Linked DNA regions of Ovis aries. The protein of the gene in region 5 interacts with the protein of the main gene of each other region in a pairwise test. Links are inferred from orthologs where the notes say so. Each region holds a gene or a part of one and is shown on either strand. Other genes may lie near its edges.

Region 1 (4,724 bases), on a different chromosome or scaffold from region 5:
TGCCTCACTTTTTGCGTTTCCTTTTGGCGGAATCTGGCCTTCTCAGCTCCGTCTCAGCTCAGGCTGGCTCCTGGGAGCCCAGGATGAGGAGGGAGCCTAGTCTACGCAAGCTCTAAAGGCAGATTCACTTGATATACCGACTGGAACCCTCGGAGGAGGAGGCGGGTTGGGGCCCCAGCGAACCGGGAGCTTCGCGTTCTCCTGCATCCGGCTGTCTCCGATCTTGCGTTCGCTGGAGAGGGGTAGGCCTGACCTTTTCGCTTCCAGGCCGGTTTCACAAGGGCCAGGCTTTGTCCCCACCTCTATCCCAACCTCAGGGTCTCCGCGGACTGCAGCGCCGTTGGGTGGGCCCGGTGGGAGGCTCCGGCAGGAGTCCGGCGCCCAAGAGCCAGCCCGGCAGAAGCGGAATCCCAGCGCCTGGATGAGAACCGCCTGGCGGCTGACAACAGCGCTCCTCATCTGAGGCTTTGGTGGTGGACGCCGCAGTCTGAGAGGGACAGGAAGGTGCCTTTTGAAACCGAATTTAGTTTTGGGGTCCGATTGGGGAAGGGATTCCCCCCCATCCCCCGCCCCGGCCCGCCCCGCCTCGCCTCAACCATTTCTGTTCGACACACAACCGTCTCTCCCAGCCTGCAGGAGCTGCCTCCCCAGGCCCCACTCCCAACAAACTCCACCCGCATCACACCAAGGCTGCTACCCCGAGGCTCAGGTTGGAGCCTCAGACTCCAGGTGGGGGTTGGAAACCTGGGGTTCACTCTTTTTGAGGGGTGGAAGAAAGGAGAGCCTGGCCTTGTGGAGGCCTCTATTTGCATCCTGTCCGTCTGCAGCAGGGAATAGCAGAAAGAAGTTACTGCTCTCTTCACTTGCGTGACATTTTAAAGTGGCCAAACCAAGGTGCCTTTCTCAGCCAGCTGAGGACCTGCTTCCAGGCACAGCAGGGCAACCTTGCCTTTCCTCTGGCTCTGGAGGTGGTGAGGACGTCTCCAGCATAACTTAAGAGGAAGGTCTCATTGCTCCCTGCAGACCCAGATCCCATCTCTAATCCTTCTTTCCTTTTCTTCCCCTCCAGTCTCCCAGCCCTCCTGTTGGAAGGTTCTTCTCAGTTTAAGCAGAGGTCCTGGGTCCAGACCAGCTCGCAGCTCCTGCAGGAAACCCACCCTACAAAGTCTAAGGAGAAATCTCTTGGGCGCAGCACTTTCTCTTTTTTCCAAGCCACCCTCTTGGCACTAGCACCTCTACTTCTGGTCAGGTGAGGAGAGCCAACACAGAATGACACACGAGAGGCTTGTTGTCTAGAGTGATATATATTTTTTGTTCTTTTTCTTGTTTCTTTTTCTTCCAAAACAATCAGAGCTCTAAGCCCTTCACCCTCCCCACTCCCACCCACAACCCTCCCTTGTAAGCGACAACTGAAAACAGGCGAGACAATCACCCCCAAAGAAATCACAAAACACAGCACAATTTCACGACTGCCACCGACGAAGCAAAAAAAGTTCTACTGGAATGTCCCCTTGCAGGGCCGGGAGAAGCAGGAGCCAGAGTCTATGAATTGAGGGGGGGTTGTAAAGGTGGGGACGCAGGGGGAGGAAAGGAAGCAGAGAGTAAACCCTAGTCTAATGCTTAGGTGCGATTTCGGCCTCTTTCCTTAGCAAGCGGGACTGCTACCCAGCAGCGTGCGCGCGCAGGTCGCCATCCAGGCGGGTCTCAGCGCTTGTGCGCTGAAGCAGCAGCTGCCAAGCCCGAGGCTCCTCCGCAGGGGTCGGACTGGGCAGGACTGGAGGAATAAGTCAAGCTCCGCAAGCCCAGAGTTTTTGCTCCTCCCTGTCCTCCACGACTTGCTCTGGAGAGGAGCCCAGGAATCGATGCACAATAAATTCTCCATCGGGTTCTCCTGACCTGCTTTCCCGCCTAAGGAGGAGTACAGCTAGCAGAGGATGGGGGGGGGGGGGGCGGTGGTTCTACAGGGGCGACTTGACTCGCTGGTGCAAGGTGGACTGGCCTGGCCGAACAGAGTTGATTTCAGAGCTGGGGAGGATGCAGAAGAATGCAGCAGGGCCGGTGTCAAGCAAGAGAGGCCACAGTCTCTGTCAAGCAGGGCACAGATGAACAGGAGGATGACATTGTCAAGGCTTATGACCCACGATCTGACCTCCTTTTGTTGGAAGGATAGGAAAACAACATGCAGAATTAAACATTTCCTGCAGCAAAACGTGTGTATGTGGACTACTTTCATAAAACCTAAGAGACTCTCATAAGACCACCACTGCCTTTCCTTGCCCTTTCTAGCCCACCAGCTGGGGAACTGAGTTTATCCCATTTGGCCTTGAGTCCATGCCTGGGGACAGTTAAGGAGTCCATGGGGGTGATGCTGTGACGCTGGGCCCCTTGAACTGCAGCGCCTCATTCAGGAATGTGTCTCGAGACATCTTCTTGGTGTGTATTGCATTAGGGGTAGACCCTGGACTTTTCTGATGGTCTAGGGGCTATTCTGCCAGATGTGGGGTGTGATGGCACTTGGGGTGTCACTTTGAGTGTTGACTGTGGGCTTTTCCCATTGTTACTGTGGGCTCCAGGCTTTATGCAGGCGGGCGTCTGTTGGGCTGTGTGAAGCTGGAGTGTCCCCGGGTGACTTAGGGATAGGTGCGTGGGAAGGAACAGGCAGGTTGGAAGTGAGGAACTGGGGTTGCCCAGAAAAATTAGGAGGGTTACTAGGGACTCTACTAGGGGTTGTCTTTCCTTGTGGCCCATCACCTTAGGAATCAACTACATCTACCTTCTAAATCAATAAAAACTCCTCCTGAGACCCAGGGAGAAGAGGACAGGTGAGGGCAAAGGAAAGGAGAGAGCCTCTAGATACAGAAGAGGACTTTGAAGAGAAAGATCCCTTCCCCATTCACTTGAATACATCCCAGACAGCACTTGGCTCTGCAGCCATCACTTATAAATAAGTGTGAGATGGAGAAGGGGTGGGGTGGGCTAGGGGAATCTTTACTCTTTGCCCTGTTCCTTATTCATTTTCTTCATTTTCATCCGCCGGTTCTGAAACCAGATTTTGACTTGTCTCTCACTCAGATTGAGGAGTCTGGCCACTTCGTGCCTACGGTCCCTGGTGAGGTACATATTGAACAGAAACTCCTTCTCTAGCTCCAGCGTCTGGTATTTGGTGTAGGGACAGCGCTTTTTCCGGGAAGAGCGAGCGTGCAGCCAGTTGGCGGAGGGGTTGGCTGAAAGAGAAGCAGCGATAGAATCAAAGAAAGGAAAGGGGGTGAAAGCCCCTGTGTTCATCTTCCAAGAGGGTGCCCCTTTGGTCTCTACTCCCCATTTTGCATTAGAGAAAGGGCCACCTGGGCCTTCAGCTCCCAGAAAGGGTCTCAGAGATGGGCCAGGAGTTGCTATAGATACCTCCAGGTGAGAGATCTGGGGACAGGATAGAGCCAAACCTGTGCCAGGCATCCCACAACTTCCAAAGCTTTGCCTGTCCCAGGCGCTCTCTCAGTCTCTTTCTCGGCTTGGGTCAGAACTGGTTAGGATTTGGGTCAGAGCCCAGCCTGGCTGAAGCCCCCTCCCCCACCAGCTCTACAAGACTAGAGGTGGCTGGCTGACTGAGGAGTACTGGCTCTAAGTCTGAGAGGTAAGAGAAGGACTGAGCTAGGGGAGAGGAGAGTGGCTTCTGCCCAGCCAAACTGAGGGACCTCCTGGGCCTCCAGTCCAGTGCACCCTCCTGTCTTAACCACAAGCTTGGGTCTCTTGGCCACATGGCAGCAGGCATATGTATCTATGTGATAGCTCGCCACCCCCCCCAACACCACACACCACAAATATGGTTTGCATTTAGAGACGCAAACATTCAGCACACTCCAATTCACATGCAACCCAATTACAACCATTTATCACCTCCAGCCTGTGGACAAGAGAGCGCTGAGGGCTCACAGATAACTTATGGTTGCAATAGTCTCCGTTTCCGCTCCTGCTCATCTCGCAGTTTGGTTAAAGCAAGTTCAGGGAAATTGGGACGCAAGATTGCTCCAGTCCCAAGGTGGGGAGCCATGGATCATGTGGGGGTAACAGAGGTCCATCACAGCACACCTAAATCCAACTGGCTTCACCCGGTGAGAGGGAACAGAGAAAGGGGAGATTGAGGGGAAGTGGGGGATAAACAGGAAACAAAATATATACAGGCTTCTCTTCTCCTTACCCCTGAACTCAGAAAAGTTGCTAAATAAAGCAGAGTTCATTAAAAATAGCAGCCACCCTCTGCTAGATTCCTTCATCTCAAATGAAAAGCACTGAATTTTTTTTAAGTAATAATAATCTGGTTCATCCTACACTAAGTACCCTGTCTTACCAATTTGCAGTGCTATTTCCTTAATGTGATTGCCTGGGATGTGACCCGAAGTCACATTAAATATGAAAGAGGAAAAAAAAAACTGTTAATAATTGATCCTAGCCAAACTGCTGCCTTGCAATAATGGACTTTCCAGGCAGAGTTTGGGGGCCTGGGGTGGGGGGTCTGCTTGGGTGTGAGTAGGGAGGCTTTGGGAAGAGCCGTGTTACCCAAATGTCAGCTCTTGTGATCCCACCTGGCAGGTTGGAAGGGGTGACCTGAGGGAGTAGGGCAGCTCTCTTCTCTCCAGCAGGCAATAAACCCCCAAAGGACCCTTGGGCCACTCTGTTGGTGGGAAATCCGGTAGGGCAAGCAGAGACTTTAAAAATCTGACCCTCAT
Region 2 (5,549 bases), on a different chromosome or scaffold from region 5:
ACCATTTGTTTGAAGGAAATATGGGAGAAATCTGGCTTTGAAAAGTTTGTGGTCTCTGTATTTCCAAGAGATTTAGAGATTTCAGTGTCCCAGATTCAGTGTCATTCTAGGCCTTCTATGTGTTTCTCACTGTGAACTTCCCACTTCCAAGCCTCTGGGCCACCGCGCTGCGGGTGACCCAGGCCTCCAGTCCCGAGAATTTTTGGAAGTTCCTCCCAGTTGTAGTGCCTTAAGGCTTGTTTTCCTCGCGAAGTTTGGGAGGAGAGATTGATGACGTGGTGGGGGTTAGGAGTAAGACTAAGGGGTCTGTGCCCTAAGAAGTTTTGGAGGCAAGCCTCCTAAGGTTAGCAGTCTCTTGCTGGGGGTTCCTTTCTGCGCCCCACGAGGGCCGCAGGTCTGAAATGGGGAAGGTGGGGGGCAGCCAAGGGCCTCAAGGGCAACATACACAGTCAGGTTCACTTTTTAACCTACTCTCCTCCCGGAATCGCCCTTTTAGGCGGAGGGTTGGCTGCTGGAACGCCTGGTGGTACTTGAATTCACAGCACACACACGGACGTTTTCGGGTTGTTCGTTTGCTTCCAAAGCAGTGCAGAATAAAGCTGAGAGGCGCCGACCGGTTGACCATTGCAGCCGACTGGTCTACGCTCCGGATTCGCATTGGATTCGTCCAGACCGCCAAGAGATGAATTCAGGGTGCTCTCTGAAGCCTGCCTTCTGAAGACGGCTCCGGGATTGCCATCGCGCCTCTTCGCACTGAGCCGTTGTGCTACCCTGCGCCGCAGTAACCACTGCTTTTCTTGTTTTCTCCCATTAGGGGAGCATCTCTGTGTGTTTGCGGAGGTATTCTGCTTTAGGCCATAACCCATACACACAAGTATCACTTTAAACAAAGTTTTACAGTCATCTGTGCAAAGGCCCTCTCCCACCCAAAGACACTGGTGTGGGGGTGGGGTGGCCCCGTCCCTTATTCATAACTAGATTGCTGAGTCCGTGGGCATTTGAATGGGGTGATGCGAGACCTCCGTTTGATTTCTCAAAGACCGTTGGGCAGGGTTCAGATCATATGCGGTAACTTGGGGGGCACTAGCGTGGCCCCTTCATTCGCTCTCTGAAAGTTTAGACCCAGTGCTTAAACACAAACTCCAAAAGAGCATTTGCCGGCTTTTCAGAACAGAGACTTTATTTTTTGTTACAACGTGGAGGTGTAGAAAGGTAAACTGCGCCACAGAGGGAGGACTATTTTCCCCTTTGAAACAGCCTGCAAAACGGGTCGTCATCCTTGGACCAGCAGGTTTTCAAAAGCATTTTCTTCTGCAGCGGCAAAAAGAAAAAAAAAAAAAAAACTTTGCAAAAAGAAATCAAGAAAGCCCCCATTTCTCGAACCAGTTCAAATGCCCTACCCCCAATTTCTCCAGCCAGTGGCCGCAGGACCTGGCTCCCCGCAACATAAAACCTCTTCTCGCGCCGGGACCCTAGTGTATCCGCAGCGCTCAGATAGGTTCCGGATCTCCCCGAGCCGTGTTTCTGTGGCCAAGTGTGGGAATGAAAGCCGCCTTGGGCCCGGTGCCGCCAAATCGGGCCTGGAGGGAGGCGGGAAGAGAGTTGAAGGGGAACTGCCACCCGCCTCGCCCAGAGGCACCCTCACCCTCATCCGCGCTGGTCCTCCCTTCCCCGCCCCGCGGGCGCTGCCGCGTCCCGAGTGCTGCAGTCCCTCCCTTGCAAGCAGGAGAGGCGCAGGGAGCGCGGAGGAGGGGGCCGTGAGCGCCCCCGTGAGAGTGGCCCGGCGGCAGGTAGCAGGGAGAGTAAAGCGCAGGGTCTCGAGAGGCGCGGGCAGGAGGAAGGAGGCGTGGAGTGGAGTGGGGTGGAGAGTGCCAGGAGACCGGGACCCCGAAGGTGGGGGTGGCGGGGGAGGGAGGCGGGGGGAGGGCGGCAGAGGACGTGCCGGCCGGTCTGCGCGCGGGAGCTGCGGACGAGCCGCTTCAGACCTTAACCAGAGCTCTCGCCGGCTCCCGGCAGCCGCCGCCGCGCCTCGGCCGCGGAGGACGTGCCGGCCAAAGGAGCGGCGGGAGGAGACTCGGCCGACTCGGGAGTAGGGAAGCGCCCGTCGGGAGCCGTAAAGACGGCCGCGGCCCCTCCAGCCACTCCGAAGCGCTCAAGGCCGCCTGGACTGCGGGGCCGAGGACTGCGCCGCCCGGAGGCCGCTTTGGAGAGGGCCTCTCAGCCCCGCCGTCCAGCGGCCCCGTACCGGCTCCCGCCGCCAGCTTGCCAGCTCTGTCGGGAGCCCGGGGCATGAACGGCTACGGCTCCCCCTACCTGTACATGGGCGGCCCGGTGTCGCAGCCGCCGCGGGCGCCCCTGCAGCGCACGCCCAAGTGCGCGCGCTGCCGCAACCACGGCGTGCTGTCCTGGCTCAAGGGCCACAAGCGCTACTGCCGCTTCAAAGACTGCACCTGCGAGAAGTGCATCCTCATCATCGAGCGGCAGCGGGTCATGGCGGCGCAGGTGGCGCTGCGCAGGCAGCAGGCCAACGAGAGCCTCGAGAGCCTCATCCCCGACTCGCTGCGCGCCCTGCCGGGACCCCCGCCGCCGGGAGACGCCGCCGCCGCCCCGCAGCCGCCGCCGACCTCGCAGCCGTCGCAGCAGCCGTCGCGCCCAGCCGCCGAGTTGGCTGCGGCCGCCGCGCTGCGCTGGGCCGCCGAGCCCCCGCCCGGGGCGCTGCAGGCGCCGCTCGCCAAGCCAGGTAAGGGCCGCGGCGGGGCCGGGCCGGGCTTGCGCCCGGTCGGAAACACTTGGAAGCAGCCCTGGAGGCTTTGGCCGGCAGGCCCGAAGGCGAGTGTGGCGGGAGTGGGCTGGGCGCGACCTTACCCCCCAACTCCAGCCAAGCCGGTCCTTACTCCCTCGGCGGAAGCGGCGTTCAGTCTGGACCCGGCGAGGTAGGAGGTGGAACCGAGGTGCCCTCGGGAAAGGCGCCTCGGGCTCGCCAAGTGCCTTCTCTAAGTTTAAGGGGACGGGTAGATAAAGAGGTCGAAACAGGACCAGATTAAAATCCACGCGGGCGCACACACTCCAGGCTTTTCGACTGTAGGCTTGAGAGGCCTCGCATCTGGAGGTTGGGACGGGAGGGCAGAGAAGGAGCCCAGGCCCACGGTTTGGCCTACTCTGGGCGATTTTCTCGGCACCCGGCAACTGGAGCGAACCTGAAGCCTTTCTAGTCTGCTGTGGTCTCCAGCCTTGTGCAGTTTGTTGAAGGAAGCCTTGTTTAGAAGCAAGAGTAGAAAGGGACCAGAAAGACTCCCAAAACTGTTAGCAGGGACTCAATGTGGTGCACCCAGAGCCAGCCAACTCCTTTTGCAGGAGTTCAGGTCCTGTAATACCATTTCGCAGGCAGTCCTCTGCAGTCTGCCGTTTTAAAGAAAGACAAAACCTGAGCTACAGTGAGGAAGGCCACGCCTGGAGAGCCTTTTCCCCAGTTCTCCGTGGGCCTGGGCCTCCTGCGGCCCTCTCCTCTCCTCTTCCCCCTCCGCTGTGTTCTAGAGAGCAGGAGTCTGCCCTGAGTCCTGGAGCTGCGCAGATCCCCCTACCCACCTTTTTATCCAGTTCCCTCCTTCAGGCCACCAAAACCTTGCACACCCCACTGGAGCCTTTCCTCCTGGAGACTTACTAGCTTGTGACTGTCCTGCCCAACCCAAGTGCTCCTTTGGTTTTTAACCCCTTGGAATTCAGTGGACAGGTGTTTGGTGTTTCCCTTTCACTGGGGGCAGATGTGCAAAGGAAAGAAACCCCATCTTCTCAGGGAGAGGGTTGAGAGGTATGCTGGGACTCAGAGGTGGAAGGCTCTCGAAGGACCAAAGCCCTCCTGTGGGTGGAACTAATGGTAGAGCTTCCGCCTACCCCTAACTGCCTCCCCTCCAAAATGCAATACTTCTGGTTTCTGGAGAGAGGCTTTCTGGAGCACTGGATTGCTGGGTGGAGCTGGGGACATGCCATTTCTTGGGGATAAGCTGGTAGGCCGCCTGGCAGGCTCAGTTCTGCTGCCCTGTTCCTCAGTTATGCTCTGCAGACCCAACCTCTGAGAACATCTTATGTGAAGAGCAGAACTGGGTGTTTAAAGACAGAAGTGAGTTTGCTGAACGTGGCTTTTGTGACTGTTTAATCCAGGGTAGGATGGATATAAGCCTTTCCCTGAGTATGTCTACTCACTTCCTGGTGACTCTCTCTTGTCAGTGTGATCTCATGTTTCACAGAGGAGTCAGAGGGGAGGGGAAAGAACCTTTTTCTCTTTTAAGTTAGGGCAGGTAACTAGGACAGTTTTGTCTCAGTTCTCAAAGTTGATCTATGCCGGTGAATTTTCTGAACCTTCCCATTTCTACTTCCTCTGTCTCCATTTCCCCTAACACTCGGGCAGCATTTGTGATAGTGCAGGCAGCACCCCCATAATAGTGCATTGGGTTCTGGGGTCCCTGTCCAAGAGGGGTTTGGTTCCCTTCACATCCTGTGCTCTTCACACCTGTTCTCTGGGATAGCCAAAGTTCACTGTTTCAAAAGCATCGAGACCAAAAACAGCCCTGAGAGGTGGGGAGTGAGGGCAGCCAGAAAGGCGGAGCAGCAGCAGCAACAGCTGGAGAAAGATATAAGCTTGGGGTGAGACTGATTGCAGCCAGACACACCAAGCCTGGTATGCTCTCTTTCACTGGGAACCAAGATAGCCTCAGCCTTTCAAATTGAAAACCAGTAATTGCAAAGGAGAATAGGATTTGACACAAGAAGAGGTCAGAGTGATGGCTTTGGGGGACTAAGCTGTCAGGGACCAGCAGCTCAGTTTACAGCTAGTCCTGCTGTGTACCTTGCACATCTTATTTATGTAACTTTTGTTTTCTTCTTTCAGTTGGTTCGATCCCATAATTCCATTTAACACCAACAAAAAAGTCAGTCACCAATCTGATGACGATGAGAGAGGGCAGGAAAGGACTAGATAGTTTTCCACTAGGAAGGCAGGCACACAAGCGGATCAGCTCTATGCAGTGCTTTATACGGAGAAAGCCCATTTGGGATTTAAGTTAGAGAGAACTGCTTGGGTGGGACTGCTGGTTGCTGTACGTATTTTTTTGCAGGTGTTCTTAGGATTTATTTGTATGTAACATGCATATTGAGAAGCCTGTTAGGTATGGTCCTGGGCAAGTAGCTCACTGCTTAGGGAAGTTAGCTCACTTCTTAGCTCACTACTTAAGCACTATTTGAATTGTAGGTCCACATGTACAGTAAGTTCACAGACCACTGGTGGGTGGTAGTGGTTTAGTCGCTAAGTCCTGTCTGACTCTTGTGATCCCATGGACTGTAGGCTGCCAGGCTCCTCTGTCCATGGAATTTTCCAGGCAAGAATACTGGAGTGGGTTGCCATTTCCTTCTCCAGGGGATCTTCTCGACCCAGGGATCTGACCCATGTTTCCTGCACTGCAGGTGGATTCTTTACTGCTGAGCTACCAGGGAAGTCCTCACAGACCATTAGGAATCTGAATATCTGCTGGTGATTTACAGAGATTTGTTTCTGT
Region 3 (5,859 bases), on a different chromosome or scaffold from region 5:
TATATGGCAAACACTCCAATTCTCACCATTCTTCAGACACATTTCTCCTTTCTTGTCAATCCTTGCTTGCTGCCCCCAAATTATATACTACTTCATTGGGGCTTCCCTGGTGGCTTAGATGGTAAAGAATCTGCTTGCAATTCAGGAGACGGGTTCCATCCCTGGGTTGGGAAGATTCTCTGGAGAAGGAAATGGCAACCCACTCTAGTAAGTATTCTTGCCTGGGGAATTCCATGGACAGAGGAGCCTGACAGCCTATAGTCTACGGAGTCGCAAAGAGTCGGACATGACTGAGCAACTAACACACACACGCACACACACACCATTTGCTGCATCTCAGGAATACCATTCTCATATTCCATGGACAGAGGAGCCTGGTGGTCGCAGTCCATCGGGCTGTAAAAAGTTGGACAGGACTAAGCAACTATTGGGCATTTTAAACTTTAAAATTCTCTGGGCAGTGATAGGAACCAACAGTAAGTGGCATGCGGAAGCACACATGGAAGCGGTGGAAGCATGTGGAAGTTTTAATATGATCCAGTTAAAATGTCCAAGCTTCAGTATACATGTTCTCTTTTGTGTATTGTTCAACCTCAGTTTTCATCTCCCTGAAAATACAGCTGCTTTTTTTGATCTCAAGATCCTATGCTCTCAACCCTGCCTTTACCATCCCAAGAAATATCCTTTTGATGAGATGATAAACTTAATCATCTGCTTTTGGCACAGTGACTACCCCACATTGTGGAGTAGAGAGGGGATCTGGGACCGGCACCCTGGATGGTTTCGAGCATTTGGAGTAATCCACCTTACCTACTTTCTGAAATGGATGATAGTGGGGCATGAATGGAGACAGAGCCTCTCTATCCGGGGAGGAAGCACCATTCTCTCAATTCTTCCACCTGCGGTTGAGGCCAGAGGATCATGGTACGTTTGTTCACAACACAGGTTCTAACTTTTGTCACTACCTGGAAGAAGTTAGGAAAATCAGACCTCATATCAGTTAAATTTATTTTTTTTTCCTTTTCACCGAATACAATGTGATTTTTTTTTTTTTTAGTTATTTAAAAAGATCCAAAAAATTAAACAGCAACGAAATGCAGTCCTGATAGTGTCCTTCGCCAAGCCAGCAGCGGTTAGGTGAGTGAGCAGAGGGCATATCTATAATTCAGTTCGGGAATATTTCTGTTAATAATTAATAGAGTGCCACAAAAGGAGGAGGCCCAATTGGGCCCTCGAACAAAGCTGCCAGCTGAGGACGACAGTGGTCGCCTCGGAGCCAACTGACCCGCCCAAGGTCGGATTTGCTCCAGCAATCCGGGCGCGCGCCACCACTGCCAGCTTGGCCACAGGGGGAGCCGGGAGAGGTGCCAGGAGCCCCGCCGCCACTGAGCGCGCGCGCGTGTATGTGTGTGTAAACTCTCACTTCCCACCGCTAATCTTTCTTTTGGCATATTTATGAGAATTGCGTGTTAACATCCACGTCCAGGGGGCACTTCACAAGGCAGCCACCAAATAAGCAATCTGGAGTCCATCGGGGGTGAGGAGCCGCTGCGGGCGCACTCGCCCCTCCACGAGGTGTTGGGGTATGTGGGGGGAGTGCTTTTTTTGTTGTTCAATGGAAGTGGGTGGCATTGGAGATCCGACCACTAGGACAGAGATCTCCCGGGAGCCAAACCTCTCGCCAACGTATTTCTTTTTGCAACAACAGGTTCCCCGAGGGCTGGCCCCGCCGCCGGGAAGGACTGGCAACCTGTTCGTAGACCTTTGACTCTCCTAACTCGGACCTCAGCCTCCCTTTCGTAGCCCTTGGCCTGGGCCCGATTCGAATTTCAGTAATCCTTCCCTTCTCCGAGTCCAACACCTGTGTAAAGTCGGTCTCCTCCGCGCCGGAGACTTCCGACCCCAGAGTTGAGGCCAACAAACTCCCCACAAGGAGGCGGAGACCGAGGGGTCTGGGCGCGCTTGCGGGCGACCGGACAGCTCCGGGCTGGCGGCCTCGCCAGGGATGCCCCCGGGGTTCCCAACCCCACACACTCGTTATGATGCCGGGCTGGGGGGGCTGTGTGTTTGCAGCGGGGTGGGGTGGTGGGTGGGGTACCGGGGGAGATGCAGAGAAAACGCTTCAGGAAGAGGAGAAGACACCTAGAAGCACCTTGCGGTCGAGCCTGGACCTGCCGCCGAAGTCACCTCTTCCAGCCTCTCCTGACGTTTCTGCCCTGCCGTCGGGACCCCATTTCAGCTTCAAAGGGGACACCTCTCCCTCTGCGATTAGCTCCTCGCCCCTGGGGGCCCCCATCTGGGGACCCTGGAACGCTGCCCACTGGCTCCCGAGAGCTTCGGCGACTGGGGGCCAGGCCGGGGGCCGGGCAGCCGCGGCGTCGTGACTGCGCCCGCCCCGCCGCGCCTGGAGGCGCCCCTGGCGACCGCGGTGAACGCCCCACCCTCGGACGGCCCTGGCCCCGCCCCCGGCCGGCGCGCGCTCCCGGCCAGGGGAGGCGTGTGCTGCTTCAGCAGCCAGCGAGAGAGCGAGAGGGATGGATATTGGAGGAGGAATTCGGGCTTAACAAGTGATCGCTGCTGTCTAGGATATATATTTTTTTTTCTGGGGAACCTTGACTTTTCCCTGTCGAGCCCTTCTGTGCTGAACTCCAGAGGAAGCAGGAGTCTTGGGGTCTTCCCTGGGGCAGCCCTGATCCTTACCCCCCGGCTCCAGCAGCTAGGACTCTGTGCCCTCACGCCCCCACCCCCCGCCCTCGACCAGGCAGTAGAACTTGTTCCGTGGATATTTGGGAGCTCCCACCTGCCACACCGGAGCGATTCCTTCCACCCCCAAGATCCTTCTTCCCCTCCTCCAGCTGTTGCAGCTTGAGGGTGAAAAAAAGCAAACCGGGGATTTTCTTTATTTTTATTTTGCACCCCGCCTGGGAATGGTAAGTATGACACCTCTCTTACCTTTCCTCTCCTCTCCTCTTTGGCTATTAAGAAACAGTGGACATTTGAGGGATAAATAATATCGAGAATGTGACAGAAGGGCATGAATGGAAGACGGTTAAAAATAAAACAGGAGGTGGGAGAAGGGAGGTGCAGATGCTGCGCGGCGCTCCGGGGGGCCAACAGTTGTTATTTTCCCAACCCCGGGGATGGGGTGCGTGCGCCCTGGTTAATGTGCCCGAGCGGGAACCTAGGTCTGGAGGCGAGGGCGCGATTAAAGATGTCGTTTCCCAACGAGGTGGGGTTTAGATTTAGCATCGTTTTGTCTCATCTCAGACTCACCGGTTCTATTTCTTTGAGAACAGCTGGTGAAGGGGTTTGAATTGTTGCTTCTCCCAACATTTGGGGTTGAGTGCGTTTTCTGAGCATTTGAGCAATACATAGAGACTATATAAATGGCGTGCGTTGAAGTGTGTATTTCTCACGGTATTGGCCCTTGGAATTCTCTCAATCTTTTTCTCCTTTTCTCTCTCTGATAAGGTTCAGGTACCACCCTACAGTTGCAGGAATTAGCACTGAGTGAGGAAAACAGCCTTGTTGTTGGGGGTGGGGTGGGAGGAGGAGGGGCGCGATGCTTGACTCTTGTTTGGGGGCGCAGGAATTGGGGAATAGGTAGTCAGCAAAATTCTATTAGTTCGTGGTGTTAAAGAGGAAAGGATATTCCCCTGCAAGGTCTCTTCATAAAGTCTCCTGCAAGGTCTCCCTCATAAAGTCTCCTGAGAGTCAGCTTCAGCAGATTCTCCTAACATGAATACCTTGAGGGGAGAAGGAAGAGAGATTGTAAACTAGTCTGATTTGCTGGTTGGAAGGATTTTTTCATCTTTTTTCTTTTCTTTCTTTTTTCTCCCTTTTTATAGACTCTTCCTCCTCTTCTTCTAAGATGAGAATAGTGAGATAACTGGTAACAAATTAGAAGGACGATAATTTGCTCTATGTACAGTGGAGGAGGGAGTTAAGTAAACAAAAAAAATTAACAAACCCAAGTAAAGAAGTAAGTAAATAAGAAACTATTTGGTGTAAAGAGGGCAAGTCTAGCTCTCCTGCAGAGTTGATTGTGAATTAGAAGACCCTCTAACTCATGACCTTCCGGGAGTCAGTTCCTTTGGTGGAAGAGGGGGTGTGCGTAGTATAAGAATTCACAGGCGCTTTGGTTACACTGGGGCTGTATTTAACTAGTGTATTATAACTGCTTTGAGGGGGTTGGGGAAGAAACTGAGGAAACTCTCAGGCTGTTCGGCTTGTGGAAGTCTTTAAAGGATGTTGGCCTGACCCTCCACAGAGAAGATAGATATTTGGAGACCTTGTGAGAGTGAGCATTTCAGAGTAGAAAATGATCCTGGGAGTCAGGCAAAGGAGGACACCAAACCAGAAAGCTTCAGAGGTGTATTTTCTAGGTTCTTTGTCCCAGTCAATCTCACTTCTTGTCCTGGGAGAATGTGATTGATCTGGAAGGGATGCATGATCCGAAAGACTTTTGTTTGCTGCTTCCCCAACTGTTACTTGATAAAACCTGGGTGTGTTTAGTCTTCTAGGCCAACAGGATTCAGCAGCAGGTGGTCAAGAGGTGGGTCCTGTTAATGGCTCCAGGAAGCCATTTCTCTTATGCTCCCCAAGAGCTCCCGGTAACTGAGGTTGGTAGCTGCCCTGAATCCTGGCTGTTGTTATCCTCCCCAATTCTCTGGGTCACTCTACATTCTTGGAAGTCTTGTTGGACCCAGGGAAGGGAAGACGCAAGAGGAGACAGGAGAAGCGAGATTAAGACAGGGACATTTACAGGTTCTGGCAGAGGAGATGAGTTAGTTGGACCTACAGAGAACAAACTAAGGAAGAATGAAGGTCAGGAGTACTAGGTGACAGGGAGAACAGGAGAGGGCTGCAGGGAAGATGTGATCAGGAAGTGGCAGATTGGAAATAAAGGGAAGGAGGGAGGGAGGGAAAAGAGAGGGGGATTTGGGCCATAGAAATTATGGGTAAATTATAGGGAAGAACGTATCATAGGCTGAAAACAAAGTACATACAAACTGGGATTTGAAACATAAGGAGACAGTCCTTGAGCAAAGTGTAGGAGGAAGCATCAAGGTGAACATGGGGGAACTGCAAGGAGAGTAGATGATTATTAGAGAAGTGGAAACTGGGATTAGCTCCTAGGTTGTGGGTGGTAGGGCGTGTTCTGGAGTCTGGGGAACAGAAAAACAACAACAGGGACATGCTTCAGGGAGTTAGGGAATGCCAACTTAATACAGACCATTCGCGAGCCTCAAAATGTCCTGGATGACTTCATGTTCTGTCCTTCCCCTGCTTTGACAGTGGTCTAAGGATATATGCATTTGGGGGTGGGGAGATTGACCATAAAGTATTATTATGTTATTAATAACTGCAAGCCTTTATTGATATTCCTCACATACAAGGTACTGTGGTGTTCTGTCAACATCAGTTATCTCATTTAATCCTTACACAAGTGGTATGGGAGAGGTTGTATTATTATCTGCACTTTGTAGATGAGGTGACTGATGCTTGTTCGAGTGGTGGAACCTGGATTAAAGAAAACTGGTTTTTCCAACTCCTCTAATCCTGAATCAAGTCAGAGGGGTGGAAGGCCACTGAATTCAGAAATACTTGATGAGTGGAAATTTGAAAAAAATGCCTTGAGATCAATGAATGATGGAAACAGCTGTAAAGTGACAACATTGTTATTGTGGAATGAAGAGGGTGACAGTGAGAATTAAGACCTAGCATGAGTGAAAAGGCGGACTGAAAGAAGAACCATATGGGTCGAGAGTGGAGAGAGGAAAAATAATTAAATTATGATGAAAGTAGACAGTGCTGAAATGATAGCCAAAGAAAAAGGATAGAAGGATATTTAGTGAG
Region 4 (5,789 bases), on a different chromosome or scaffold from region 5:
CGCCTCCACTCCCAGGCCCGAAGACCACGCCCTGCAGCCTCTTCTGCTGGACCCCGGCCCCCCGCCCAGACACGTCTACAGCTGGCCCTGTCCACCCATCCGTCTGTCTGTCCACCCCCAGCCACGCCCCTGTGCTCCATGGGGCACCCCTTCCTCCGGGGCCCCCGCCCACAGCCTGCATGGATAGCCCCACAGGACGCAGCCGGACCCTCCCTAGAATCCACTGGGCGGGCGGGCCTCAAGCCCCGTTTCTAGGCTGCCCACCGTTGGAGCGCTGGCTGGGGGCGGCCGCAGCGCACAGACGGCCCCGGGCGACACTTACGATGACGACTCTGCAGACATGGCCGCGGCAGAGCTCCGCGTAGGACGAGTAGTGCACGTAGGCCAGCCAGCTGCCTGCGAGGACGCCCAGCCACACGAGGAAGACATACTTGACCCTCAGGCCTGGGAGCCGGCCCTGCGGGGGAGGGGGCGTGAAGAAGTACAGCGGACCTGGCCTCCCAGCCCCCAGCCCCCCAAGCCCCGCCCCGGTCAGTGTCTCCCTCCCACTCCGCTCACCCACTCTGGTGCAAGGCAGGGGCCTGGTGTCTCCCAGACCTTGAAATCTCACAGGCAGGGAAAAATAAATTCCAAATGAGGAGGATTTAGGGCAGACAACTCTATTTTGCTGAATAAAGAGATTTGGAACAATTTTTTCCTCCTGTCCTGCCGTCATTTCATAATGACGTAACCTCTGTAGAAGGTCAGGCTGGAAAGGCACACCCCCCACCCCGGGCCCCTCACGCTGGGCCGGCACCCTTCACAAGGTTCCTCCCACTGGGGAAGACTTCAGGCTGGACCAAGGCCAGCAGGGAGCCCAGGGCTTGGAGGCGCAGTCACCCTGTGAGCTTTTAAGGGACCCAGCCTCGCACACCCCCCATCACACCAGCCAAAGGGTAGACACAACCCGCGGACCCACTGAGGAGGGAGCGGGCAAGCCAGATACGGCCCATCCACACACGAAAACGGTGTTCAGCCATGAAAAGGCAAAGAACTCCGACCCAGGCTACGGCATGGATGACCCAGCAGGACATCATGTCCAGTGAAATGAGCCAGACACAAGACAGATCCTGTGTGACTCCACCCAGGCAACAACCTGGAGGACTCAGATCCACAGACACAGGAAGGGTGGGGACAACGGGGAGCGGTGGGGAGAAAGGGGGGCCTGCCCAGGATGGCGAGTGAGTGTTTGAAGGGGACAGAGCTTGAGTGCTTGAGTTTGGGAAGATGAAACGAGTTCTAGAGATGGAAGGTGGTGGTGGCTCAGCAACGGGGATGTGTTTAATGCCCTTGAACAGTGCACTTAAAAAACGGTTGAGATGCTGAATTCACACGATGTGAAATTTACCATAATAGAGAAGAGATAACCAAGATACTCAGCCCCTGGCCCCGCTGCCAGAGGCTCCGTCCCAGGAGCGTGGGGTGGGCCAGGAACTGCTTCTCTGGAGAGCAGCTCTCCCAGGCTGATGAGTGGAATCACAGGGTGGGGGGGACCCAGAGCCCTGCAGGAACTGGGGGGCACTGTCTCCCATCCAGCCCCCAAGCCAGGATTGCAGGAGCATCAGCTTCCTTCCCCACCCCCGTCCTGGCAAATCACGGCCTCAATGGCTGCTGCCCAGCAGCAGTCAGCTGATGGGCCAGAGCTACCAGGCACTGCTCCGTGGAAGAGCTCAGACACCCTGACTGGGGCAGCTGAGCCTCAGAGAAGAGGGCCCGGGAGAGCAAGGGGCTCCAGAGCAGGGCCTCTACCAGCACTGGTCACACATCCTGCCACCCCTGGGTCAGTGGGGTGGCTCCAGTCCTGGTCAGCCCTGGGCTTCTCATCGGAGGCTGGGGCCCAGAAATGGGGCCAGCGGCTCTCCCCTGGGGACGAGGCAAGGCCTCCAGGCTCAGGTCAGGCAGCTGCGCTAGTTTTCACAGTTCCTCCAGGAGAGGCAGGGCCTTCCCCTCCTGCTCCTCTGGCGGAATCCCCCGGCCGCCCAGGGAGGCGCTGCAGCAGGTGCGGCTGGGAGCCGCGGAGGCCCGGGGTGGCCCTGGCCAGAGTCGCAGGGCTGGGTCGCAGGCCCACTGGTCCTGCCACCACATCTGCTTCTGCCAGTTTTGTTCAAAGGGAGAAGCAGGAAAGCAGGCCAGCGGGTGGGGGGCCGGGGAGCCAGGGGCGCGGCTGGGGGCAGGCGGAGGCCAGAGGACTGCCAACCGCCCTGGGGGGACAGGTGGAGGCCAGAGGACTGCCAACCGCCCTGGGGGGATAGGCGGGACAAGGGCGGGCTGTCGCCTGCACTGGCCCCAGGGGCTGACCTGGGCCAGACCCAGGTTCGCGGCCTGACCGCAGGGCCCACCTCGGACACGGCCCACGCTCCCGCCAGAGCCCCTCCAGCTCCGGCCTTCCCGTGGCGGCCCCGCTCCATGGACACCGTCCCCAGCGCCGAGCTCTGAGAGACCCCCAGGCCCTGATCATCGCAGGCAGGCACTTCCTCCGAGGGGAGTCCCTGCCCCTACCCCCTGCCCTGCCTTGCCCCTGTGGCATCCTGACGCCCAAGGGTGAGCATGCCGCCAGGACAGGGGGAGCTCACTCAGTGCGCCCTAGTCGGCGGCTCCCCGCACCCCCAGACTGCCTGGCTCCTAGTGGAGCACTTGGGGGGTCCCTCGGGGGACACAGACAGCATGATGACCAGCAGCCTCGGGGCCAGGGGCCCACGTACACCGTGGCCTCCACCCCTCACCACCAACACAGGAGTGTGTTTCACATGTGGTAAACTGAGGCTCAGGGTGTCTCCTCTCATTAAGGAGGCGGGTGTCTGGGAACCAACCCAAGCCACTGGGAGCCCATCACCTCTCCTGTCCAGGCTCCTTCGCCGTTCCCAGGCTGAGCTCAGAGGCCTGACACCCCCAGTCCAAGACCTGCCACACTGGCCTGGTCGGTCAAGCCCTTTCCCTCAGGATGGGGCTGCTGCACCCCCACCTCCCAGCGTGGGGGAGGCCACAGACCCTCAGCTCCCACCCGACCCAGAGATGGGTGGAGATCACTACCCCCGAAGACCCCTGGATGGCAGGGGGGCTTCTGGCGCAAACTCCTGAGTGCATTACCTGGCTCCCACCCTTCTCCCCAGAGGGGACTCCAGGGAGGTGCGGGCGAGTCTGACCAGGGCTGTCTCCTTCTGCCCAGGGCCTGGGGTCGTGAAGGTGGCAGGTTTGGCCTGAATAATTTGAGGCTCGCATTCAGCCCGGCTCAGACCACCCCAAGCAGCCATGACAGGGATCACGGTAGGCGGCCCCCAGAGCAGCCTGGGCCTCCCCTGCAGACAGCAGGGTCCCGAGAGGGCCGGGGATCTGTCCAAGGTCACTGTGGGGAGGGCACACTCCTCTTCTCGGGCTGGCTGGGGGATGACCCAGGGGGAGGGTACGCCCTTCCTAGGGTGCTTCTACGGGTCCCAAGTTTTCCATCACAGAAAGACAAACCTGGTCTCCTAAGTAGAGGAAAGCGGGGCGGACCTGGTGTGGCTTCGGGGCCTGCGGGAGCAGTTCCGGCCCGCGGCGGAGCGGGGGCCTTCTGCAGCCCCAGAGGCACTGGGGCCAACCCCGCAGCATCCGCTCACCCGATCGGCAACCTCCACCCCGGGCCCCGCCTGCCCCCGGTCCCCCAGGGACCACGCACCCGGGCCCTCAGCGACCTTGAGTCCGGAATCCGCCCAGGGTCCCCGGGCTGGATGCCGCGCGACCCCGCCGCGGCCCGGGCCCCAGGGCGGGAGGGGTGGGGGCGGGAGCCGGCCCGGCCGGGGGCGCGCCTACCTGCAGGCCCTTGGAGAAGGGGCAGAAGAGGACCAGGTGCGCCAGGCGCCGCAGCCGCCGCATGGTGGGCGCGGGCCGTGCGCGGGCCCGGCTCGCCTCCGCTCGGCCTCAGCCCCGCGGGCCGGCCCGCCCGCATCGGCCGCCGCGCCTCCTCCCCGCCCCGCGTCCGCGCCAGAGCGCTCGCCGCTGACGGCCCGGCGGGTGCGCGGGGAGGGGGCGCGGCGGGGGCGCGCGGCGGGGGGAGGCGGGCAGCCGAGGCGCGCGGGGGCGCGCGGCCGCGAGGCGGGCGGCGCGGGGGCGCGGCGGGGAGGGCGGGAGGGCGGGGGAGGCGCCCGCGGCCCCGCCTCCGCCCCGCCGCCCCCTCCGCGCCCGGAGGGAAGGGGGAGGGCGCCGAGGCCCCGCCCCCCCGCGCCCCCGGCCCGCCCCCGGCGGCGCGGACGAGCCCCTGCGTGCGAGCCCCCGTCGCCCGCGAGGCCGCCACGGGAGGGGGCTGCACGGCGGGGGCCGTCACGCGCCCCTCGGTGGAGGAGAGGCGGGTGATGGAGCCGGGCAGCCTGCGGAGGTCCCCCGGGGCAGGGGCGGACGCGCGGGGCGCGGGAGGCGCCGGGGCCCGGAACAGTCGTGGGAGACCCCTAGTGGGGTCCCGCGCCGACCACAGGGCCTGGAGGGGCGGTGGATACTGCGGCAGCATTGGCCTCTTTCTCCCGCTTTTTAAAGACAGTAAAACGCACTGTTGCACCGTGCGGCTGTGCCGGTGTTTGCACAGACAGCCCGTGGGCACCCCCACTTGCAGGCTGCAGAGCAGTTCGGGCCTCGCTTTCTTCCAGGCTCCCCCGCGCCGGGCCCAGTCCCGGGGAGCTGCGGCTCGTCCCCTGCACGACACAAAAATTGAAAAAAGCGGCCGCAGCCTCCAGGTCTGGCTTCTGTCCCTGGGCAGAGGCCTGGACGCTCAGCACCCCTCTTTGCCAGCGTGGGCACCAGGCACCAACTCGATTAGCCGGTCAGTCACCTCTTGAAGGCCCCCAGAGTTGGTCCTGGCTTGGGACATCAGGAGCAGAGCCGCCGTCAAGTCAGAACTCAAGGTTCTGTGTGAAGGACATTCCCTTTCCCTGAGGTGATACAGGCTGGGGATGCCATGGTAGGCGTAGGCACCCTGCATGTGGGAGTTCTGGTCGCTCCACTTTCCCATGGCACTTGGTTTCGACCCTTTTAAAATTCTAGCCATCCTATGGGGAGCCTGTAAGTGCAGTTTCTTTGTGGTTATTTGCATTTCCCCAGAGGCAATTGATGTTGGCCATTTCTTACATACTTAGTTGCAACCTGTATATATTCTTTGGCAAAGCGTCTATGCAAACTTTTTGCCCAACTTTTTTTTTTGGTTATTGTTTGTTTCTTTGTTGAGTTTTTTCTCTAGTTGCAGCGGGTGGGGGCGACTCTTGCCGGGCGCAGGATTCTCATCACAGCAGCTTCTCTTGCTGCAGAGCGTGCTCTAGGTGGATGGGCTTCAGTAGCTGTGGCTGGAGGGTTCGAGCGCAGGCTCAGAAGTCGTGGCTCACAGTCTGACTTGCCCCACGGCATGTGGAATCTTCCCGGACCAGGGATGAAACCAGTGTCCGCTGCATCGACAGGCATACTGGCATCCACTGAGCTACCAAGGAAGTCCTGCTGCTGCTGCTGCTGCTAAGTCGCCTCAGTCGTGTCGGACTCTGTGCGACCCCGTAGACGGCAGCCCACCAGGCTCCCCCGTCCCCGGGACCTACACGTTCTTAATTTGGATGAGGTCCAGTTTGTCCATTTTTCCCTTTTATTTGTCTGTGCCTGTCAAATCTAAGAAGTCTTTGCCTAACTCAGCCCAGGGTCACAAAGATTTTCTTCTGTTTTCTTCTAGGAGTTTTATAGTGTTAGGTTTTGCGTTTGGGTCAGTGATTCAGGGGAGCTCATTTTGGTACACGGCTTCGCAG
Region 5 (5,820 bases):
ATGACCACCAGGGAGCCGATATCCGATGCAAAAGCAAGAGAGTTTTTATTACCAAGCTCGAGCTGGGGCTCCCACCGATACCGACGCAGCGACTATAGGGAGGAGCCCTGGGTCTTGGATTACATTGCTTATATAGGGAGTATACATGGGAAAAAGGATTTCTAGGTAGGGGAACATCTGATCGGTCACTTTCTTTCGAAGGGTTGTGTGTTGGTTCTTGATTGGTCCCTATTGTCTAGGTAGACCACAAGTTCCTGAGCGTTAAGTCAGGAGATTTTGGTCTGGGGTCCGATTGGGTTGTGGGCGGTGGGGTGAGGTCAGGGGATTTCCAAAGCCTCTTGGATTTCCAAAGGCTCTTTTCCTGGAACCTTACAAAATGGAGTTTTTCTGTTAACAAAATGGAGTAGCTTAGATTCTTCAAAACCTAACTTGATTCATAAAGAAAATCCACATTTCTTAGGGTTCTAAGCTTGTGCAAAAAACACAATAAATGAGCTTTTTCTAGCCACCTGTTTTTCTGAATGGTCTCTTATTGTCATAATGGCAAAGTGAAGCATAAAAACATGAAACTGAAACCGGAAAAGCAGAATAAACAGAAAAACATATATTGTGTGTTTTAATGACAAACAACCATTATTCTAAAAGACTAAGCAGACCACATTGAAAACGGCCTTGTTTTTGCTTCAAGGAGGCAGTTATTATTAATGCTTAGTCACAGAGTTCTAACTTACTGTTAGTACTAATTCTGTAACACGCTCTCCTGGGTCTTCCCACAACACAAAACAAAGCAGAGGAAGGAAGGGCTTATGTATGGTCATCCCAAGTGCAATAGTGTCAGGAAACACTACCTAAAGTGGCTTAGGCAGATGAGAATCAATGCTATTTTTAAAGATGTTTGAGAAACATTCCATAAACTCTCACAATGACTCACTTGGCATGATAGCCCCAGAGGGTGGGAAGGGGAGCTACTTTTGCTTTCTTTTCTACCTACAGGATATTGCGAGCAGAGGCAGAGAGTTATGTTGAATGTTGGGGGAGGGGTCATTTGGTGATAATCCAACCTACAGACTGAAAACACTGCAGGCTCCTTTTATGCTTTCGCTCTGACTCAGTGAGGAACCCAGGCTGGTTAGTCGAAGCAGGGCCCTCAGAAGGCCTGTCTGGGAAGGTGGTTTGTAAATAAAAACCTGTATCTGCAAAAGGATGGAGTACTTACTCCAGTGGGTATAACCCAGGAAGAGCTATAATCTAATCCAACTGTTCTCAGACATTCTCCTCTCAAGACATTTAAAAATTATTGAAAAATTCTAAAAGCTAACCTTTGAAAATTCTAGAAAACATGAGAACATACAAACACACCTTCCTTTAGTCACCAAAGCAAGGATGTCATCATACATCCTGTAAATTTGTAGTTACTTCAAAAGAAAAAGTTTTAAAGGAGGGGAGAAGAAGCACAGGGAATGAACAAGGAGGGAATATAACAACTTTAAACAGCAATGGAAGCCAGAAGATAGATGTCATCAATATGCTGAGAGAAAAGAACTTCCGACCTCAAATTTGTTCACAGTGAAATAAATCCTCCAAGAACTTCAGGATAACTGAAAGACATATTTAGACAAGCAAAACAGAAAATGTTATAAGAGCGGACCCTCACTAAATGCAAGTCAGAAGGAGTGTACCTCAGGCAAAAGGAAAGTGTTTTCATAGGAAAGCCAGAGATTTTAAGAAAAAAATGAAAACGAAAAAAGTAAGAAAGAAAATATTCTGTTAACTCTAAAAATTGCCAGCAGAGGGGGAAAGAATTATTGAGGAAGCCAAATAGCTTACCTTGGGAAATTCTAGAAAACACAAGAACATGCAAGCACACATTCCTTTAGTCATGAGAGCAATGGCGTCATCATACATCAGTTCTCTGGAAAATTCCAGCGAAACTAAGAAAGGCAAATGAAACCCTATTATTACTATGAAGCTAGCTAGTTCTGAAATGATCTTGGAACCCACAGGGCCCCCCAGACCACCCTATGCGAGCCGCTACTCTAAACCTCTCATCCCCTCGCCGCTCAAAGCCAGGTGTCTCCAGAGAAGAAATTGTCAAGTCATTGGTCCAGGGCCCAAAGGGGAACCTCTCTCTTCCTTTTGCAAAGGTCACTTAGGGGACGCCTAGGCTGGGCGGTCGGACTTTCGGGAAGCCTCCACCACGTGCCACGAGAGGGCGCCGCTAGAGAGCTCAGCCTAGCGCCTCGCCGCCCGCGCCCCGCCCGCGCCGGCCAGGTTCACACAGGGGCCCGGAAAAGAGGGAGGCGCCCGGAAGAGGGGGCGGTCGCGACCTCATTGGACGAGGCGCCTCCGCCTCACGTCCCGGGGAGGGGCTTCTTCAGGCTAAAAAGCAGAGAGCCCGGCGGCAGGAACGCGCGCGGCTCCAGTTGCAGAGAGCTGCTTGTCTTACGTCGTTCGCCGAGGTTCGCCAGGTCATGGTGCCATCCTGACTGGGAAGAGGACGCTCCCGGGAGACGAATGAGGAACCACCTCCTCCTACTGTTCAAGTACAGGGGCCTGGTCCGCAAAGGGAAGAAAAGCAAAAGACGAAAATGGCTAAATTCGTGATCCGCCCGGCCACCGCTGCCGACTGCAGTGACATCCTGCGGCTGATCAAGGTAGCGGGAAGCTAGGGCTCCTCCCGAGGCGGAGTTGGGGTCCTTGTACCCCGCAGGTCCCCTTTTCTCCGCCCACCTACCCACAGCCCCGGCCAGGCGGCGCTGCTCCGGGCGAAACTCGGAACGAATCCCCGCCCCGCCCACCCCCTTCCCCCGAGCTGTCCGGGCCGGGGCCTCACTTAATTTTCTGCTTCTCTTCCTTTTTCCTTTTTCTTATGTGCCTTAACCCAGGAATTGGCTAAATACGAATACATGGAAGAGCAAGTAATGTTAACTGAAAAAGGTAACGCATCAGTGGCAGGGCAAGGGACGAGCGTCTGGGGGACGACCGTCACCGACTCCAACACTGTCTCTGCTTCCCCTTCTTGCAGATCTGCTAGAAGACGGTTTCGGAGAGCACCCCTTCTACCACTGCTTAGTTGCAGAAGTGCCCAAGGAGCACCTGACTCCGGAAGGTAATCGCCCTGTCCTTCTAGAAGCCGAAGAGACCGAGTGTTGTGTAAGACGTAGAGTCCGCTCTGTAGAAGCACTGACAACACAGGCTGAAGTTACTTAACTGAGAAATTGGCCAGAAATAATAGCCAGCCAGTGTTCAAAGTACTGAAAAAAAAATGTGCTGCACTTAATAATAGGGCGGGTCAAAAGAGCTCTTTAAGTATCAGTGCTGTGGAGACCCGGAAGAGTTTGAGCTGTTTATGTAAGTATCAGAATGCGGTGGAGACCCGGAAAAGTTAGGTATAAAGTCATTTGTTGTAAATTCAGTTTCATAAATGGTTCTTGTTTGACCCTAACGTAACCTTTTTTGTATCTGTGTTAAATTACATTTTTTTCTTTAATTTGTCCCAATCTTCAGGTTACAGTCTCTAGCTTCGCCATGTACATGGCCCTTCCGTGTACATGGATGGGCGGGGAGGTAACTAAAAGATCCTTTACACAATAAAGTAGATGATCATGATAAATGAGGTAAGGCCCTATTATCACACACTTAAAACACGGTAGATCAGAAGCTCCAATGTACTCGCTTCCTATTTGGGAAGGACTATAAGATGGCTAGAAAGTTTAATTTGAAACTTATGCCTCCAATTGGAATTACAGACACCTGTTAAGAAGAAGTCGGATGCTTTTTTCCTTTTCTTTTTCTTTTTCTTTTTTTTCTTTGTCGTTGTTTTTCTTCCTGGTCATTGTTGAATGGCCAAAAGACAAAGCCAAATGGGGAAGTTGATGCGCTGGGTTGGGGGGTGATTAAGGGTTTTTTTTTTTGTTTGTTTGTTCTGAGGTCATTTCCTCCTGCTAGAAAAAAAATGAGCGAAATACATAAGGGATGAGGTACTTTCCAGAGGTATGTGGATGTTACATCATACCTGAGTACCTCTGTTTCTTCCGACTTAAACACTGGGGAAAGTAAATTGAAAATGTGTGAATTGGAAGGCAAGTTCTGAAATTAAACCTTACTGTTTCGGCCTTATGTCCTGACCTTAAGGAAGCAGGGTTTCTAAACTACAAATACTTACTATTCTGAACTGCCGTGTAAACCTGACTTATTCCCAAGTCAACATACCAATATATCAATAGGATGTGAATAATGTGTGTGTTTAGTTTAAGACCATAGCAGTTTCACTCTGGCAAGTAATGAAAGCATTCTCACTTCCTGAGTGTGAGATCCAACAGATTGCCAAGTGGCCAGTCCATGGTTTTAGCCTGGGTTCGGCTAGCTCTAACGTGTGCTTTTTGTGAAAACATGTTCTAAGAACAGTGAGATCATCCAACAGTGACCTGGATTGCACTAGCCTAAAAGTCAGAAGATAGTCCGGTCCAATGGCTACTTATTTTTATAATACATGCATGTATATTTTTTTAAACTTATGATAGGCTTCTGATTTTGCACCTACAACCTTGACAGATTGTTTTTCATCCATAACTCATGTGATACTCTTATTACAGGACACAGCATTGTTGGTTTTGCCATGTACTATTTTACCTATGATCCATGGATTGGCAAACTGTTGTATCTTGAGGACTTCTTTGTGATGAGCGATTATAGAGGTATGGTTGAGTTCAGGGGGGCTGCTCTAAAGAGAAATCGGGGCTTGAAGTCCTTAAAATGACTTTTTAAAATGGCACTTCTCGTTCTTTTAGGCTTTGGCATAGGCTCAGAAATTCTGAAGAAGCTAAGCCAGGTATGTCTTGGTGTTTGGTTTCCAAATTTGCAAGGGTTACTGGATTATTTGAAGGACTGAATTGAAATTGGGTCTTGGAAAGCAGGTGCACTGTCACTGAGTTCATTTTCCTCTCCCGTGTAACAGGTTGCAATGAAGTGTCGCTGCAGCAGCATGCACTTCTTGGTGGCAGAGTGGAATGAACCATCTATCAACTTCTACAAAAGAAGAGGTGCCTCTGATCTATCCAGCGAAGAGGGATGGAGACTCTTCAAGATCGACAAGGAGTACTTGCTAAAAATGGCAGCAGAGGAGTGAGGAGTGCTGGTGTAGAGAATGACAGCTTCCATTCTATTTAGAGTAACTTCTCAACTTATCTTGCTTTCTCTCCTCTTTGTAGTGAAATAATAGAATGAGCACCCATTCCAAAGCTTTATTACCAGTGGCGTTGTTGCATGTTTGAAATAAGTTCTGTTTAAGATGGCAATCTTATATACAGATTGGAGACAGATTTCTCTATTAACATCTTTTGATAAACAACAGGTAGTGTGATAATGTCTATGAAAAAAACTTCATTCTTGTGAGTCATTTAAATGTGTACAATGTACACACTGGTACTTAGAGTTTCTGTTTTGATTCTTTTTTTTTAATAAAGTACCCTTTGATTTAATTCTCTGGTGTAAGCATTTTTACTGATCCTTTATTTCATAGTCATTTTTCTTGCTGTTGAGTACAAAGTAAAAATGCCCAAGAAACATGATAACCTTACAATTTTTTTCAAAGAATTTTTAATCCAGTCTAAAGTGTCTGATGGTCAGGAGCTGTGTTGTGCCTGTATTCCCAATGTCTAGAAAGAAGCCAGTTGAATCCCAAGGTTTTATATGTAGCAACATATAAAATATGACCTTCTATTGATGACACTGTACACTTAACCCAACAGAATTTTCAAGAGCTTACAAACTCAGGCCCCACAGTAAAAAAGCCCATTTGTTACACCAGTAAAAGAGGTG

The links.
Region 1: the proteins of SAT1 (region 5) and HOXB9 interact in binary tests that used the Homo sapiens proteins (3 or more experiments, as listed by UniProt). The two-hybrid records come from large-scale screens. The link is inferred for Ovis aries from reciprocal best matches to the Homo sapiens genes SAT1 and HOXB9.
Region 2: the proteins of SAT1 (region 5) and DMRT3 interact in binary tests that used the Homo sapiens proteins (3 or more experiments, as listed by UniProt). The two-hybrid records come from large-scale screens. The link is inferred for Ovis aries from reciprocal best matches to the Homo sapiens genes SAT1 and DMRT3.
Region 3: the proteins of SAT1 (region 5) and KCNA4 interact in binary tests that used the Homo sapiens proteins (3 or more experiments, as listed by UniProt). The link is inferred for Ovis aries from reciprocal best matches to the Homo sapiens genes SAT1 and KCNA4.
Region 4: the proteins of SAT1 (region 5) and DIPK1B interact in binary tests that used the Homo sapiens proteins (3 or more experiments, as listed by UniProt). The two-hybrid records come from large-scale screens. The link is inferred for Ovis aries from reciprocal best matches to the Homo sapiens genes SAT1 and DIPK1B.

What each region holds. Positions count from the first base shown.
Region 1 is NC_056064.1:37,601,071-37,605,794, reverse strand, and holds the end of HOXB9 (homeobox protein Hox-B9), read right to left. Parts: intron 3,225-4,724; coding exon 2,989-3,224; 3' UTR 1,286-2,988; downstream 1-1,285. UniProt on the Homo sapiens protein: Sequence-specific transcription factor which is part of a developmental regulatory system that provides cells with specific positional identities on the anterior-posterior axis.
Region 2 is NC_056055.1:69,238,125-69,243,673, forward strand, and holds the start of DMRT3 (doublesex- and mab-3-related transcription factor 3), read left to right. Parts: upstream 1-2,014; 5' UTR 2,015-2,289; coding exon 2,290-2,740; intron 2,741-5,549. UniProt on the Homo sapiens protein: Probable transcription factor that plays a role in configuring the spinal circuits controlling stride in vertebrates.
Region 3 is NC_056068.1:59,526,909-59,532,767, reverse strand, and holds the start of KCNA4 (potassium voltage-gated channel subfamily A member 4), read left to right. Parts: upstream 1-2,509; 5' UTR 2,510-2,930; intron 2,931-5,859. UniProt on the Homo sapiens protein: Voltage-gated potassium channel that mediates transmembrane potassium transport in excitable membranes. Forms tetrameric potassium-selective channels through which potassium ions pass in accordance with their electrochemical gradient.
Region 4 is NC_056056.1:2,817,170-2,822,958, forward strand, and holds the start of DIPK1B (divergent protein kinase domain 1B), read right to left. Parts: upstream 3,935-5,789; 5' UTR 3,892-3,934; coding exon 3,829-3,891; intron 3,669-3,828; exon of another isoform or gene 3,628-3,668; coding exon of another isoform or gene 3,499-3,627; intron 458-3,498; coding exon 323-457; intron 1-322.
Region 5 is NC_056080.1:22,192,355-22,198,174, forward strand, and holds SAT1 (diamine acetyltransferase 1), read left to right. Parts: upstream 1-2,409; 5' UTR 2,410-2,588; coding exon 2,589-2,654; intron 2,655-2,885; coding exon 2,886-2,937; intron 2,938-3,025; coding exon 3,026-3,109; intron 3,110-4,595; coding exon 4,596-4,697; intron 4,698-4,790; coding exon 4,791-4,831; intron 4,832-4,957; coding exon 4,958-5,128; 3' UTR 5,129-5,480; downstream 5,481-5,820. UniProt on the Homo sapiens protein: Enzyme which catalyzes the acetylation of polyamines. Substrate specificity: norspermidine = spermidine >> spermine > N(1)-acetylspermine. This highly regulated enzyme allows a fine attenuation of the intracellular concentration of polyamines.